Linked DNA regions of Elephas maximus indicus. The protein of the gene in region 2 purifies or fractionates together with the protein of the main gene of each other region. This does not show direct contact. Links are inferred from orthologs where the notes say so. Each region holds a gene or a part of one and is shown on either strand. Other genes may lie near its edges.

Region 1 (7,796 bases), on a different chromosome or scaffold from region 2:
CGGTCCCACTACGTGCATCTTATTGTCCGTGTCTATCCACACACACACACCTGATCTGGCGCGAATACCCACACACGGACACACAGTCCTCACTACACACGAAGTTCCAGGTCCATGTTCAGAACCAAACACCCGCTGCACCCTGGCCATAAACCACTCTCCTTCTGGGGCTTAAACCCACTTGGTGGGAAGGAAACCCACCAAGGTTGAGGCACCCCAAAACTCCTGACCCATCCAAGAGGCAGGAATTTCTCTGAAGGGTCCCAAGCCAAAAGACAGACTCAAACAAGATGTATGGTCCCTGCTGCCCCTTGGCAGGAAAATAAAAAATAATAACGACCTTGGCATAGTGTTCTAGAATTGCAGAGCACACACACATTCTCCTTTGGGCCTCAGACAGCCCTGTGATGTAGGAATTATTTTCCCCACTTTTTAAAACGAGGGTACAGGCTCAGGGAGACTGAGAGTTAGAAAAGCAAAAAAAAAAAAAAAAAAATTTAAGTGCGTGGTAATTCAGAAGAGAAAATTACCCCTTTGGGAAGTAGGGAGATAAAGATAGAGATCAGGAAGACAGGCAGTCTGGAAGAGCAAACAAGGTGAAATAGCCTCTAGAAAGTTAGTTAACTTCTCCGAGCCTCTGTATCCCCACCTCGAAGATGGGCTTAACAGCATTTCCCAAATACTTAAAGAGCTGATATGTAGTAGGGTTTTAGTGCCAACAGATTTTACATTATATCATTAATCCTCATGCCAACCCTATTTTGTTGTTGTTGTTGTTGCCAGCTGCTGCCAAGTTGGTCCCCAACTCATGGCAACCCCACGCACAGCCATTCAGACCATCGTGATCCGCAGGGTTCTCACTGGCTGATTTTCCGAAGTAGGTCACCAGGCCTTTCTTCCTAGAACATCTTCGTCTGGAAGCTCCGTGGAAACCTGCTGAGCATCCCAGCAACACGCAAGCCTCCACTGACAGATGGGCGCTGGCTGTGCATGAGACGCGTGGGCCTGGAATCGAATCTGGGTCTCCCTCATGGAAGGATAGAATTCTACCACTGAACCACCGCTGGCCTCCCAACTCTACTTAGCATTATTAGTCTATTTTTAGAAACAAAAACTGAGAGGAAGGTTAAGGAACTTGCCCAAGGTCACAAGCTACTGAGTAGGAAGGCAGACAAACCAGAGCCTTGCCCCTTCTACCACACCAACCATGCTGCTGCAGAAGGCTTCAGCGGGCAGGTGGGGTGGGCACCGAACAGCCATTATGGAGGAGAGGTGAGCAGGCACTGCACCAGGGGCAGCATCTGCGAAGCCACAGAGGTGGCCTGCATAGGACCCACTTGAGGAGCAGGGCTGGGGTGTGAGTGGAGCAGGGCGGCCAGAGCAAAGCTGTTCTGAGAGTCTGGACCCAGTTACGGAGGGTTTTACAAGGCCAGGCTGAGGAACCAAGGAAGGATTCTGCACAGGTGGAGGCCTTGCCAAGCCACTTTAGGGAAATGACGTGGCGGGGTATGGAAGGGATCAAGGGCCAGAAGACTCAGTAAGAACCCAGTCAGTGGAGCTGACTGTGACAAGGGCGTGCACTGGGGGAGGCAGCATAGAGAAAGGAAGGGGCAGATGTGTGAGTGTGGGAAGCAACAATCAGCAGGACTTGAGGGCCAACCAACCCACAAACTCACCAACACTCTCTAAACAGGTTTTCACTTAAAATAACCATGCTTCAACAAGGCCTAACCTGCCCTGGCCCTGCCTCCCTTCCCACTAGCTGACTCTGCTTCAGGCATACTGCCCTTTTTTTGCTTGTTTTTTCCCTCTTCAGGCCCTTTGTGCTTGCCATGCCCTCTGTCAGGAATATTAGACCCTTGATCACCACATGGCTGGATCTTCCTTACCATCCAGGCCTCAGCTCAAATGCCACCTCCTTAGAAAAGCCCTCCCTGATTATTCCAGCTAGTAATGCCCCTGGCCCCCCTGGCACTTACTCTCATATGAAGCTGTTTCATTTTCTGCATAACATTTATGAATATCTGAAATGATTCTATTTATTGGGTTGGTTGGTCTGCAACTTCACACTAAAATGTAAGCTCCATGAGAGCAGGGACTGTTTTTGCCTTATTTACTGCAGTATTCCCAGCACCTTAAACAGTACCTAGCACATAATCTCACTCATAGCCACCCTATAGGGCTTCCAAGGAGCAGCTGGTGGATTTGAACTGCCAAACTTTTGGTTAGCAGCCTGAGCTCATAACAGATGCTCAATATTTATTTGTTGAATGAATGATGAGGGGGCAGTTAAGGGAACCAAACCTAGAGACTAGGAAGCGCAGGGGGGGAGCTGAGTGGACGGGGGAGAGCTTTCTCAGGTTTGCCTTTCAGAAATGTCATGCTTGAGGTGATGTGGGTTACCTAGGGGCGGTAGATCCTAAGCAGGAGGCAGAAGCAGGGGACCAGAGGCTAGAGGTGGAAATGTGAGACAGTGAGAATAGACCATACCTCTGTCAGGCATAAAGTATAATAAAAAAGGCAGGGGGCAGAGGAGCATGAATGAGCATGCGGGTCCGTGCACCTTGGGGAGATGAAGGGTATGTAGGAACAGGAAGCTGACCCAGTCAGGCTCATGGTCACATAGCCTGTCAGGAATGAGCATGAAACCCTCCCTCCCAAACTAACAGGAGCCTGTGGGACCCAGGTGGGGCAGGGGACTTACCCACGGGACAGCATCTCCCAGGAAAGTTTGGGGGAGTAACAGGCAGAGAGCCGCAGGGGGTGGGGCCAAGCCAGGGCCACAGCAGAGCACAGTGACCCAGGCCAGGTGAGGAAGAATACTCAGAACTCAGCTACCTCCTCCTCAAACCAGGTTGCCAGGCCAATGGCACCGCAGGGACAAGCCCCTGGACTTAAAGATCCTGGAGCAGGGACAGGTGGGGCGGGGTTAGCCTCAGGCAGCCCACAGCAGCCCACTTCCCACTTCCCCCTCTAGTCCCGCTCAGTGGTCCAGTCCCAGTCGTCCAGCAGGCCTGTCAGCCTGTCCAGGGCCTCCTTCCCTTTGAGGGGAGGAGCCACCCAGAGCTCCACCTGGCAGAGCAGTGGGAGGGCAGATGGGGCAAAGACCAGGAAGTAGCCCTGGCTAAGGGAAAACCGACCAATGTGGGTACCAAGGGGCCTAAGTAAAAGCCCTGGAAGCCCAATGCCTTAGAGGAGGCACCACCATGCAGGCCCTTCCACCCACCTACCCACCCACCCAGTGTGTCGAAGGGCCAGCCCACCCTCTTACCCTTCCTTGGGTGGGGAGAAGTGAGGAGCCTGGTGCAGGGCTGGGCCCAGCAGGGAGCATAGGAAAGATCTGGAAAGGGAGAGGTGGGGCAGCCTGGACTGGTGAGGGAATCTGGAGACAGGAGGTGGGGGGCTGTTAAGGTATCAAAAGACTGACACTAAGGCCAAGTCACAGGCACATTTATTATCCTCTGGGAAGCTAAGGTCTTCCACTCCCTTATCAGCACAGGGCACAGGGGAGGGCCAAGCCCCTCAGGAGGCAGCCACGCTGCCACCGGGAGCAGGCCCATGGGGTGGCAGCGTCATCGGCGGCAGGAACAGAGCCTTCAGCTTGCCTGAGAGGCTGGCAATCTCAGGATCCTGGGCTTCGTAGGACTTCACCAAGCGGGCAAACTTAAGGACACCTACAAGGGGGAGTGGAGAGTCAACCCCACACCCTGGTGACTGGCATACCCAAGATGGTGGGAGGAGTATGCGGATGGGATATGAGTCACTGGCTGCTCCCCAACTGGCCAGGTAGCTGTCTGCGAAACAGGACACAGGCTGGCCTCTCTCCGGTGTGGCCTGGATCAACCACTTCCTGGTCCACGCTGAGCACAGCTGGATAGGAATACAGTGACTGAAAAATATCCGAAGCAGTGTGCATCTCACTCTCAGGTGAGCCATTTTAGCAGTTTAGTCACAAGAATCCAAAGTATAAATACCCAAGAGGTCCAAGGTCCAAGGTCCAAGGTCTACAACGGGGCACAGGAGGGCTGCGACGCAGCGTGACTTCACCAAGGAAATTTCACCACCAACCCCCAAACAGAGATTACCGTTTCAACACCTTGGAGGCGCTGCAGAGCTAGCTCTCGTGATGCAGCCTTCTCACTAAAACGCTAGCAGAACTGGGTTCAAATCTAGCTCTGCTGTGACCCTGGCCACTTTACTATTGGACTCTGTCTCTCATCTTAAAATAGGATATTAGAGTGATTAAGAAGGATATTAGAGTGATTAACGGTAACTACAAAATGCTCCTGTAGGAATTCGCCTGGCACAAGTTCAGGGTAGACCCTGCGCCCTGAGTGCCAATGCTGTTAGTCAGATTGTGGCTGCCGCCGTGTGGCAACAAGGGGAACCACAGTTCAGGGGCCCAGCCGATCCAGCGCCCTCTCCCCGACCCACCTTGACGCCGCCCGTCCAACCCACCTTCCCCGTCGCAGCTGAAGCCATAGGCTTTGATGACCTCCTGCTGGATCTGCGTAGCCACGGGCAGAACAAATTGCAGCATCTTGCCCATGTCGTTGCACGCGTTGTCCCGAGCTTCGTCCATGCGCACGGCATTCTCCGGGGCCGAGAACGCCTGGATGACCTCGGCCAACACCACTGCGCCCCAGAGGCACCCCAGGAAGGTGTACCGTGGTAGGCGTCGGAGCACCACCAGCGAGCCCGGTCGAGAGCCCAGGGAAAGGGACAGAGAATTAGGGGACTAAGCCGTTGGTAACCCGATAAATCCGGTCCCGGAATCCTTCGCTCCAGGGCGCAAGGACCCCAGTTAACAGAAGGACAGTAATGGTACGCGGGGACCCCCCACACCGGTCGACTGCAGCCATTGCCCTCCCTATCCTCGGCCGTATCCTCCCCCGGCAGACAGCCCACCCCGGGGATTAGGGATGCTTCTCACCCTTGGCCTGTTCGGCGCTCAGGGCCGCGGGTTGGGCCGAGGCAGACGCCATATAGAACTAAAAAACCGCACGTGCTGCGAAGCCGCGGGAATGCTCCCCAAGAAAAAGCCACCTCCTACAGCTGCTCGTAAGGCCGGTGGGGGGCGGATGGGAAGCAGCATCAGCCGCAGCCGGAAGCCGCTACCGCGTAGTTTTAATGGCCCAGTTCGCGAATCTTCCAGGAAAACTAAATAACCAGAACGGGTTTTATATCTTAACGCAACAGGACTAACAAAAACCACACACACACCCGAATAAACCTAAGTCTATTGTTGAAAATAACACATAAGGAGGGTCTTCCAGAAAAACTAGAAGACCTACTAGACAAATTCTAAAAGAGCTGTAACACTGAAGAAATATGTCTTGGAGAGAACGTGGGATATCCTTGGACTCCACTATAGCTGAGGGTGAGCTGACTGCGGAGTTTTTTGAATAGTCAGTAATGTCTAAGCAGCGGAGCCCACTAGCTTTCAATAGAAAAAACAATATTCTAAGGAACTAACTTCAATTATTCATTTCTAGAGTTTGTGAACATTTGTTACGAGCCTATGCAAATGAGCGCGGTGTTGATTGGCTGAAACAGCAGCCAGCCACACACCCCCCCCTTAGTTTTTAAGAACGAAGCCTGTGATTCGCAGCAATAAACGCTGGGAGCAAGCGCATCTCTTGTGCTTTCCTAAAATGGCCTTGTTCAGGGGTGGGCGCTGCAGCGTAACGCCCTTATTTCCCCTCCAGCCCTTTGAAAGTGTCACCCACTCCTTCAAAACCGAAGGGTAATTAGAGTTCTAATCACATTGACCTACTTGAAACTACGCCCACATCCACTTCATAACTGTCTCAAACTATTCCACAGAAAGGATCCAGCTCTGAAACCCTTGTTCCAGAGGACTCTGGTGGCCCCTAGTTGTGGAACAGTGGCAGGAACACCCCCAAGGGTTAAGGGTAGTTCCTTAGACAGGACCATGTCACAGGCGGGCCTGTTGCAGGCCTGTTAACAGCTCAACTTCCCCAGCCTTGGAAGGCGTGCAGTGGCAGCACCCCAGGTGGGGCATGGCGCTCCTGCCCAGTATAACCATCCTTCTTCCAAGATCCCCTCTCCAGCTCTGCAGGCTCCCTACACCCAGTTCCTTCCCCAGGTCCTGTCCCTCCCATTTCTCCAATCTCAGGTTCCACAGCTTTTTCTCTGGGCATTGCTGCGCAGAGACCCCCACCCCACCCCACAGCCCGCAAAGAAAGAGTCGTAGCCATCTTCCGGGGGAGACGTGAGGATGTTTGTTTGGTTTTGGTTGGGATGTTTTTTAAAGAGCATCATATAGATATTTATATATATAAATTATTAATGTGGAAGAGGGGGATGGGCATACATCGCAGGGGGTGCGCACACAGGGATTTGGGGGAGGTGGCAGGGGCGGCACACGATGCTACGCAAAACAGCCACATCTAACAGATGAAATAATCACACCAACGGGGTGGGGGAGGGGGCGATGGCCACCAAGGTCTGGGCTTGAGGAAGGAGGAAAGCTGGGGTACAAGGAAGAGGGACCTGGTCCAAGATACTGTGCGCTTCTGCTCCACCCTCCCCACCTCCCCACCTTCCCACACCAGCCTTGGCCTTCTGTCTGTCCCTTCCTCTTCCCAACTGCCCAGCTGCCAAGGCCCTGCAACTGAGCAGTTTTCTCTCCTGGGTTCTTTGTGGCAGGCTGAGGGGGGGGGGGGCTCCAAGGTCCAGATGCAGGGGCCATGGCTGCTCTCTTGGTTGCAGGTTCTACAGCGGCTTGTCGCTTTCCTTCTTCAGGTGACTAGGAGGAGAGGGCATGTCCAGAGCCAAGATGAGCCTGAGGTCAGTCCTGACCTGGCCCCTCTCACAGATGCGGGTGGGGCGTTCTTTTTCCAGGAGCCTAGAGCCCTACTATCCCATGCCCAAGCCCCATCCCAGGCTGGCAGAATCCACTTCCCCACTCCTGGCCCAGGGTACCCCATACCTGTAGTAGTCCTCCTGAGCGGGCAGTGGCACGCTGTGCAGGGGGTGATGGGCGTGCAGCCACTGCTGCTGCTCCAGTGCCAGGCGCTGCAGCTCAGCAGACTGTGCGTGCATGGCCTGCAGCTGGTGAGCTGCTGACATGGGGGCAGAGAGGGAGGCCGGCAGGTCCCGGTAGGGGGCAGCTGTGGGCAAGAAGCACATGACTGATAGGTACTGAGCACCCACTATGGGCCAGGGGACAGCCAGTCACTTTACATACAGAGGAAACCGAGACTAAGAATTTAGGTAACACACCTAGTCTTGCAAGTTGTCAGTGGTAGGAGCCAGGATGCAAACCTCTGTAGCCCAGCATGAAAACATATGCCTGCTGAGACAGGGCCTCAGCTCTCCTACTCCCATTCCCAGCTTCTCTGGGCACTTCCTCATCCCTCCCAAAGCCCAGCTAGGTCGATCCTACTACTCAAATTCCTTCTTTCTGCCCTTCCCTCGTTAAAAGCCTCCCTGCTCCCAACCTCTATCCTTACCAAAGAGCTGGTGACGAAGAACTTCATTCTCGTGCAGAGGATGAGGAAGAAGGGGGTTGGGGAGGGTCCCAGCTGGGTAGGGGATCCGGGTAAGGTGAGACCCTGAAGCCAGGGGATCAATGAGAGGATGCACCGAGGCAGAGGCTAGAGGGCAAAGAAGAAGGTGTCATCAGAAGGCAGGCTTGGGAAGACTATACATTTAGATGAAGGGAAACCTGGGAAGAGAAATGGGCAGTGAAACAGGGAGATCCAGAACGGAATAGAAGGCAGAATGAAAGAACTAGGGGGGTCGGAAGGTGGACAGGACTAGACCCCACT
Region 2 (7,470 bases):
GTCACATGAACCATAGACTCCATCAGCCTGAGACCAGAAGAACTGGATGGCGCCCGGCTACCATCAATGACCGCCCTCACAGGAAACACAAGAGAAGGTCCCTGACAGAGCAGGAGAAAAGTGGGGTGCAGACCTCAAATTCTGGTGAAAAGACCAGACTCAATGGTCTGACTGAGACTGGAGGAACCCCAGAAGACATGGCCCCCAGACTCTCTGTTAACCCAGAACTAAAACCATTCCCGAAGCCAAGTCTTCAGGCAGAGAATAGACTGGACTATAAGATATAAAATGATATTCGCGAAGAGAGTGCTTCTTAGTTCAAGAAGACACACGAGACTAAATGGGGGCAACCCCTGTCCAGAGGCGAGATGAGAAGACAGAAAGGGATGGGAGCTGGTTGAGTGGACCTGGGAAATTTGGGGTGGAAAGGAGGAATGTGTGGTCACATTATAAGGAGGGGAAAAGGGGAAGTCTTAGCTTAGGGGGCACTGAGTCCCTGTTAATGGTGGTGGAATTATTTGGAAATGATAGTGGTGAGAGTTGCACAACATGAAGAACAAAACCAGTATCATGGGATTGTACAATTGGCAAATGTATTGTTATATGTATTTTTACCGCAGTAAAACATTTTAAGAAAAACCAACACAAACAAAAACCAAACTGAGGGGCTAATTAGGGCCCAGATCCGGAGAAGCATGAGGGCAGGGTTTGGGATGGGGACAGAGCCCTGACACTGGTGACAGCTACCCATTAGGCTTAGTAAGGAGAAGTTCATGGACAATCTTGGTGATAGCAAGGTCAGGGTGAAGGGAAGCCAGTTGCAGGCTGATGAGTGGAGTGAGGGGTTTCCCACCTCTGCTGTCCCCATACCTGGTCTGAGACCTCCTCCCTCCTGAATTGTGAGACCCCAGCTCTGCTCTGAGGAACAGAGACCTCCCATCCATCACAGCCCCAGAGAGGAGCAGTTGCTCCCTACTTGTGTTATTCTCCCAGAATATGCTGATGGTCAGGTTCTGTGGAGCATCTGGACAGACAGAAATACAGTTATGTGTTGCTTAACGTCCATGTATGTTCTGTGATAAAGAAGTTATATGATTTGGATGCTGTGTGAACACCATATTACATACAGGCAGTCCCTGGGTTTAGTAACATCTGACTTATGTACAACCAGTAGTTATGAACCAACCCCCATAAATCCTATCATATTAAAAATTTGATGTATATTCAATGGTTCATAGTAATAAATGGGTGTTACTTTGCAACTCTCACCAAAACATTATTATTATTATTACTGTATTATTATGTTAAAGATGTTTTAGTGTATTGGGAAGTGTTTCTCTAATGGTTTTTAGGCATAGAAAGGTAAACTACACATATTTCTGAACTATATTATAACCTTAGGGGTCCACGGACATACATTCAGTTGAAAGCTGCCCGAATGGATGTTATGCATTGCTAGACTGTAACTGTTCTCTTTTCAGTGACAGGAAGATGGGTGTTGGCCCTTTTCTCACAGAAGCTTGAGAAATAGGAAGGAGGTGGAGTCTAGTGTCCTCTTCCTCACCAGCCCCTTTTCCAGGACCCAGAACCAAGCATCTCAGTCTCTGCCCCACTTCCCTCAACACACACTGCCCTCAGGGACCCAGGTGTCCCTACCCAGCACTCACGGGACACATTGAGCTGGATGGTACTCTCCGTGGCCACACCTGCTCCAGGGAAGGTCACTCGGCAGGTGAGGTTCGTGCCATGGTGATGTGGCTCTGGGATGAATGTGAGCTCTGAGGAGTTGGAAGTCTTGGAGCCCAGGGACGTGACAGCGACCCCAATCCAGAAGAAGGTGGGAGGCATCCCCCTCTTACAGGCCCATGGCACCTTACAAGTTATACTTGTGGGGTGGCCAGATTCGAGGGTCCCCTGAATGTGGATGTTGGGTGTCTGTGTCAGGGCTGGGGAGAGAGAGAAACCAAGGCCCTGGAATTGGAATCCCTAGGCGTTCCCTAAAGCAGCTTCTGTCTCAGTCAGGCTGACTCATCCCCAGCCAGCCCCAGCATCCTGTTCCCCTCATTCCCTCCCACGATGAGGAGGAGGGGGTCCTACCCCAACCCTGTCCTAGGAACCACCCTCCTCCCCTGTGGCCTCTCCCTGACCCCAATCCTTACCTGTCACGTGCACATAGAGCTGGTAATGATTGAAATTATATAACACGTAAGATCCTCTGACGATCCTAAAGAAGTATGATCCCTTGTCTGCCATCCTGGCATCTCTGATGTCCAGGGAGCAGTTATAATCTCGGGGGTCTCCAACGAGGTGGAATCGGCCCTTGGTCTCCTCTCGCACTTTTCTGCCTGCGTCGTTTGTGGCAACTGGAGCGTCGGAGAAGTAATTGGACTCACTCCGGAACCAGTAGCCTTGAGCTGGGTCAGAGTCAATCCAGCCCTGCCGGGGGTAGAAGAAGGAGCAGGGCACGAGGATGCACAGACCCTCTTGCACTGTCACTGACTCGTTCATTTGCAATCGGAATTCATTATCTTGAGCAAGGGACCCTGTAGGAAACAAGAGTCAGCCACAGGTCCAGCCCCAGCACCACTGCCCCATCCCCTTGGCCACTCACCTGTCCACAGCAGGGGCAACAGCAGCAGCAGCATCTTTGGAGTCAGGAGCACGGGGCCCTGGTGTAGGAGGACTGAAAAGGAGCCCCAACAGGAAGCTCAGGGACGAGGTCAGAAAAGTGACTAACCGCAGAATTAGAACCTCACACCACACGCTGTCAGAGCCCGGAGGGAAACCACTTCTACTTTCTAGATGGAGTCCCAATGGGGTCACACACAGCAGAGGAAGATCCTACCCCCAGCTCCTGGCTCTCTGTCTGTGGACTTCACCTCACACACCACTGTTCACTCCAGGAAAGCAGGCGCTGGCTGACCAGGCTCTGTGGGTTACAGCTTGTAGATGCTCAGGAGGGCCAGTCCTGCCAGGCGTGGGACTCAGGAGGGGCCTGAGGAAGAACCATGTGGCATGCAAGATGGGGAAGTGTCCCTGGAATGAGGGAGGTACCGCCGACTGGCTGGCTGACTGACTGACTGAATGAATGAATCCAACAACCACAACATGAGCATCTTCTACTACTTGCTGGGCAACAGAGTCAAAGAGGAGGCTATGACCGTTCTATTCTGCATACATGGAGTCACAATACTGGTCACATTAATCAAAACAAAACAAACCTGTTGTCATCCAGTCGATTCTGACTCACAGCAACCCATGTGTTACAGAGTACAACTCCTCCATAGAATTTTCTAGGAATGGAGCCCTGGTGGTGAAATGATTTAGCCCCCAGCTGCGAACCGAAAGGTTGGTGGTTTGAATTCATCCATCGACTCCTAGGGAGAAACACCTAGAGACCTGCTCCTTTAAAGATTACAGCCAAGAAATCCTTTGGGGCAGTTCTACTCTGTCCTATAGGGTGGCTATGAGTTGGAATTTACACAACAGAACCGAACAACAATAACAATTTTTACTAGAGCAGATTGCCGGGCCTTTCTTCCATGGCGTCTCTGAGTGAGTTCGAACTACCAACGAATACGTTAATACTCAAGCAAAAACCACTTCGTTACCCAGGCATCTCACTGGTAACATACGAACCCATTGCCATAGAGTCAGTTCTAATACATAGGAACTCCATGTGACAGAGTAGAACTGCCACATAGGGTTTCCAAGGTAGTAACCATTTTACGGAAGATCTCTGGGTCCTTTCTCCCATGGAGCTGCTGGTGGGTTTGAACCACTGACCTTTTGGTTAGCAGCTGAGCGATTATCGACTCTGTCACCAGGTCACAGAGAGGAACTGTAATACTGAATGTCCCTCAGTCTGTGGGACAATCTAGTGCAGAGATGGAGGTGAGCATTCTCTGCAGACTAAGATGTGGATGTCTTGTTGTGTCTCCAGGGCAGGTCCCAAGTGGCCATTCTAAGTCCTGCCCTCAGAGAGAAGCTCTTGGTGGTAGACACTGCGCTGGAACTTCCTCATCAGGAGGTGGGCTTTGCTGGTGGACCAGTGAGGAGGTCAGGGGTGGGGGCTCTGAAGGCAGGTTGCTGGAACTTGAGCCTGACTCCCTAATGTTCACTGTGCTGTTTTAGGCAGAGAGGGGCTTACACTCTGTGGCACAGTGTCCTCAGCCATTTTTTTTTAAATTATATTTTATTGGTGAAAGTTTACATAGCAAATTAGGTTCCCATCTGACAGTTTCTATACAAATTATTCAGTGACAGTAGTTACATTTTTCACAACATGTCGACATTCTCTTTGGGTTCTGGCTCTTCCATTTCCAGTCCTCTAGTTTCCCTGCCGCCTTATCTTCTCATCTTTGCTTTGGAGTAATCGTTGACCTTTTGGTCTCATATAGGTGGTTTTTTAAGGGAGCACTGAATTCATGGGTAATATAGTTTTGTGTACCAACCTGTTATTTTGCTCAAAGGTGACCTCAGGAGATGGCTTCAGTTCAAGATTCAAAGAATATCTCAGGGTGGGTGATAGTCTCAGGGAGTCCCCCAGTCTCAACTGGTGGAGTAAGGGTGGGCTTTTAAGAAATTGAGTTCTGTTTCACTTTTTTCTCCCTATCTAGCAGGGTCCATCTAGTGTGGCCCTTAACGAAGCAGTTGGTCCAGGTAGCCAGGAACCATCTAGTTCTTCTAGTCTCAGGGTATATAAGGCAGTGGCTTGGGTAGGCTGTTGGAAACTCTGGTGGTGTAGTGGTTAAGTGCTACGGCTGCTAACCAAAAAATTGGCAGTTCGAATCTGTCAGGAGCTCCTTGGAAGCTCTATGGGGCAGTTCTACTCTGCCCTATAGGGGTGCTATAATTCGGAATCAACTCGACGGCGGTGGGTTTTTCATGGTTTGTGTAGGCTGTTAGCCCTGTTGACTAGCTTCTTCTCTGAGACTTTGGTTTCCTTCTTTCTCTTTTGCTCTGATGAGTAAAGAACAAGAGTTGTATCTTAGACGGCGGCTCACATTCTTCAGCTGTTAAATGGGGCTAATGATGTCTGTGCTTGTGGGGGTCATCAAAAGTGTTCACCCAAGGAAAAAGCTCAGAGAAGACCTTGTCTGGCCCACAGTGGGCACTTGACAAACCCTAGATGGGGTCACTCTGAGATGGCCGGAGGAAAGGGAAGTGTGGCAACCAGAGGAACTTGCGGTTGTTCTGGAGCTGAGGGAGTCATAGAAACTCCCTGACTTGAGGCCGGCACCCACTGACCTACCCGGGTGAGAGAAAGGGCTGTGTGGAAGCAGCTGGGGTCTGAACTGACCAGAGAACGGAAGCTGAGATATCCCTGGACTAGTTTGATACACAGGTTGGCGTTAGTTAAAGTGGGATGTAATGCAACAACTCCTGACTCGAGGAATCAAGGACAGAGTAGAACTGCCCCACAGGGTTTCCAAGGATCTCCTGGTGGATTCGAACTGCTGATATTTGGTTAGCAGCCGTAGCTTTTAACCACTGTGCCACCGGGGTTTCCAGAGTTTGAGGCAGAAGAAGTGAAATTAGAAATTAACAGGCTAGTTGTGCAATGGTTAAGTGCTCACCTGCTAACTGAAAGGACTGCCGTTCAAATGCAGCAGTGGCTACATGGGAGAAAAGACCTGGCAATCTGCTCCTCTAAAGATTACAACCTAGGAGTCCTTATGGGGCAGTTCTACTCTGTTCTGTGAGGTCACTATAGTCAGAATCGACCTGCCAGCACCCAACAACAACAACAACATGTAAAGGAATGGAATGAATATGAAAATTTGGATGTTTAAAATTCATGATAATATGTGTGATTATCTGAATGTACATCATGAAACTGTTACTTAGAGTGCACACCGATTTTTCAACCTTTTGGAGCCCTGGTGGCACAACAGTTAAATGCTCAGCTGATAAGTGCAAAGGTCTGGTTCAATCCCACCTGCAGCTCCATGGAAGAAATACCTGGATATCAGCTCCTGTGAAGATTATAGACTTGGAAACCCTATGGCACAGTTCTACTCTGCTTATAGGGTCTCTATGAGTCAGAATTGACTTGATGGCACACAACAACAACAACTCCTGTGACAACTATAGGAGCTGTAGTAGTACAATAGTTAAGCTCTCAAACCAAGAAAACGAAAAAACACAAACCTGATTCCAACTCATACACCAATCAAAAGATTGGTGGCTTGAACACTCCCAATGGAACAGTTGAAGAAGGCCTGGCCACGCGCTCTCATCAAGATTACAGCCAAGAGATCCCTATAGAGCCGGGGTACTCTGTAACACAAGGGGTCGACTCAATGACACCTAATAACAACAACAGGTTAGTTGTTGTTATTAGGTGCCATTGAGTCAGTTTCAACTCATAGTGACCGTACGTGCAACAGAACGAAACGCTACCTGTTCTGCACCCCACCTTCACAATTCTTGCTGTGAGTGAGCCCAGTGTTGCAGCCATTGTGTCGCTCCATCTCATTGATGGTCTTGCTCTTTTTCACTGATCCTCTACTTTACCAAGTATGCTGTTTTTCTCCTGGGACTGATCCCTTCTGTTAACATGCCAAAGTATGTGAGACATAGTCTTAACAACCCTTGCTTCTAAGGAGCATTCTGGCTGAACTTCTTCCAAGGCATTTTTGTTCATCCTTTCGGCAGTCCATAGTATATTCAGTATTCTTCACCAGCATCACAATTTAAAGGCATCAATTCTTCGGTCTTCCTTATTCATTTTCCAGCTTTCACTTGCATGAGGTGATTGAAAATACCGTGGCTTGGGTCAGGCGAACTTAGTCTTCGAGGTGTTATCTTTGCTTTTTAACACTTTGAAGAGGTCTTTTGAAGCAGATTTGCCCAACACAATTCACCTTTTTATTCCTTTTTTTAAATTTTCTCTCTTCTATTTTATTGTACTTTAGATGAAGGTTTACAGAACAAACTAATTTCTCATTAAACAGTTACTACACGTATTGTTTTATGGCATTGGTTAACAACCCCATGACATGTCAACACTGTTACTTCTCAATATTGGGTTCCCTATTACCAGCTTTCCTGTCCCCTCCTGCCTTCTAGTCCTTGCCCCTGGGCTGTTGCACCCCTTTAGTCTTTTTTTTTTTTATGGGCCCGTCTAATCTTTGGCTGAAGGGTGAACCTTAGGAGTGACTTCATCACTGAGCCAAAAGGGTGTCTGGGGGCCGTACTCTCAGGGTTTCTCCAGTCTCTGTCAGGCCACCAAGTCTGGACTTCTTTTGTGAGTTAGAATTCTGTTCTAATCTTTCTCCAGCTCTGTCTGTGACCCTCTGTTGCAATCCCTGTCAGAGCAGCCAGTGGTGGTAGCCAGGAACCATCTTGTTGTATTGGACTCAGTCTGGTGGAGGCTGTGGTAGATGTGATCCATTAGTCCTTTGGACCAATCTTTCCCTTGTATCTTTAGTTTTCTTCACTCTCCCTTGCTCCCAAAGGGGTGAG

Evidence for each region. Proteins that work in one complex are often made in the same cells at the same time.
Region 1: the proteins of myeloid cell surface antigen CD33-like (region 2) and PTPN6 purify together in Homo sapiens (co-immunoprecipitation; 4 studies listed by BioGRID and IntAct, with this or other methods). This does not show direct contact. The link is inferred for Elephas maximus indicus from reciprocal best matches to the Homo sapiens genes CD33 and PTPN6.

Annotation. Positions count from the first base shown.
Region 1 is NC_064822.1:63,740,004-63,747,799, reverse strand, and holds the start of PTPN6 (tyrosine-protein phosphatase non-receptor type 6), read right to left. Parts: upstream 3,020-7,796; 5' UTR 2,719-3,019; coding exon 2,705-2,718; intron 1-2,704. Other genes in the region: C4H12orf57 (protein C10), read right to left, coding at 3,523-3,674, 4,459-4,635, 4,934-4,985; ATN1 (atrophin-1), read right to left, coding at 6,739-6,772, 6,956-7,136, 7,479-7,622. UniProt on the Homo sapiens protein: Tyrosine phosphatase enzyme that plays important roles in controlling immune signaling pathways and fundamental physiological processes such as hematopoiesis.
Region 2 is NC_064829.1:97,040,400-97,047,869, forward strand, and holds the start of myeloid cell surface antigen CD33-like, read right to left. Parts: upstream 3,008-7,470; 5' UTR 2,752-3,007; intron 2,684-2,751; coding exon of another isoform or gene 2,612-2,683; intron 2,544-2,611; coding exon of another isoform or gene 2,160-2,543; intron 1,947-2,159; coding exon of another isoform or gene 1,668-1,946; intron 1,025-1,667; coding exon of another isoform or gene 871-1,024; intron 1-870. Other genes in the region: sialic acid-binding Ig-like lectin 13, read right to left, coding at 871-1,024, 1,668-1,946, 2,160-2,543, 2,612-2,683. UniProt on the Homo sapiens protein: Sialic-acid-binding immunoglobulin-like lectin (Siglec) that plays a role in mediating cell-cell interactions and in maintaining immune cells in a resting state.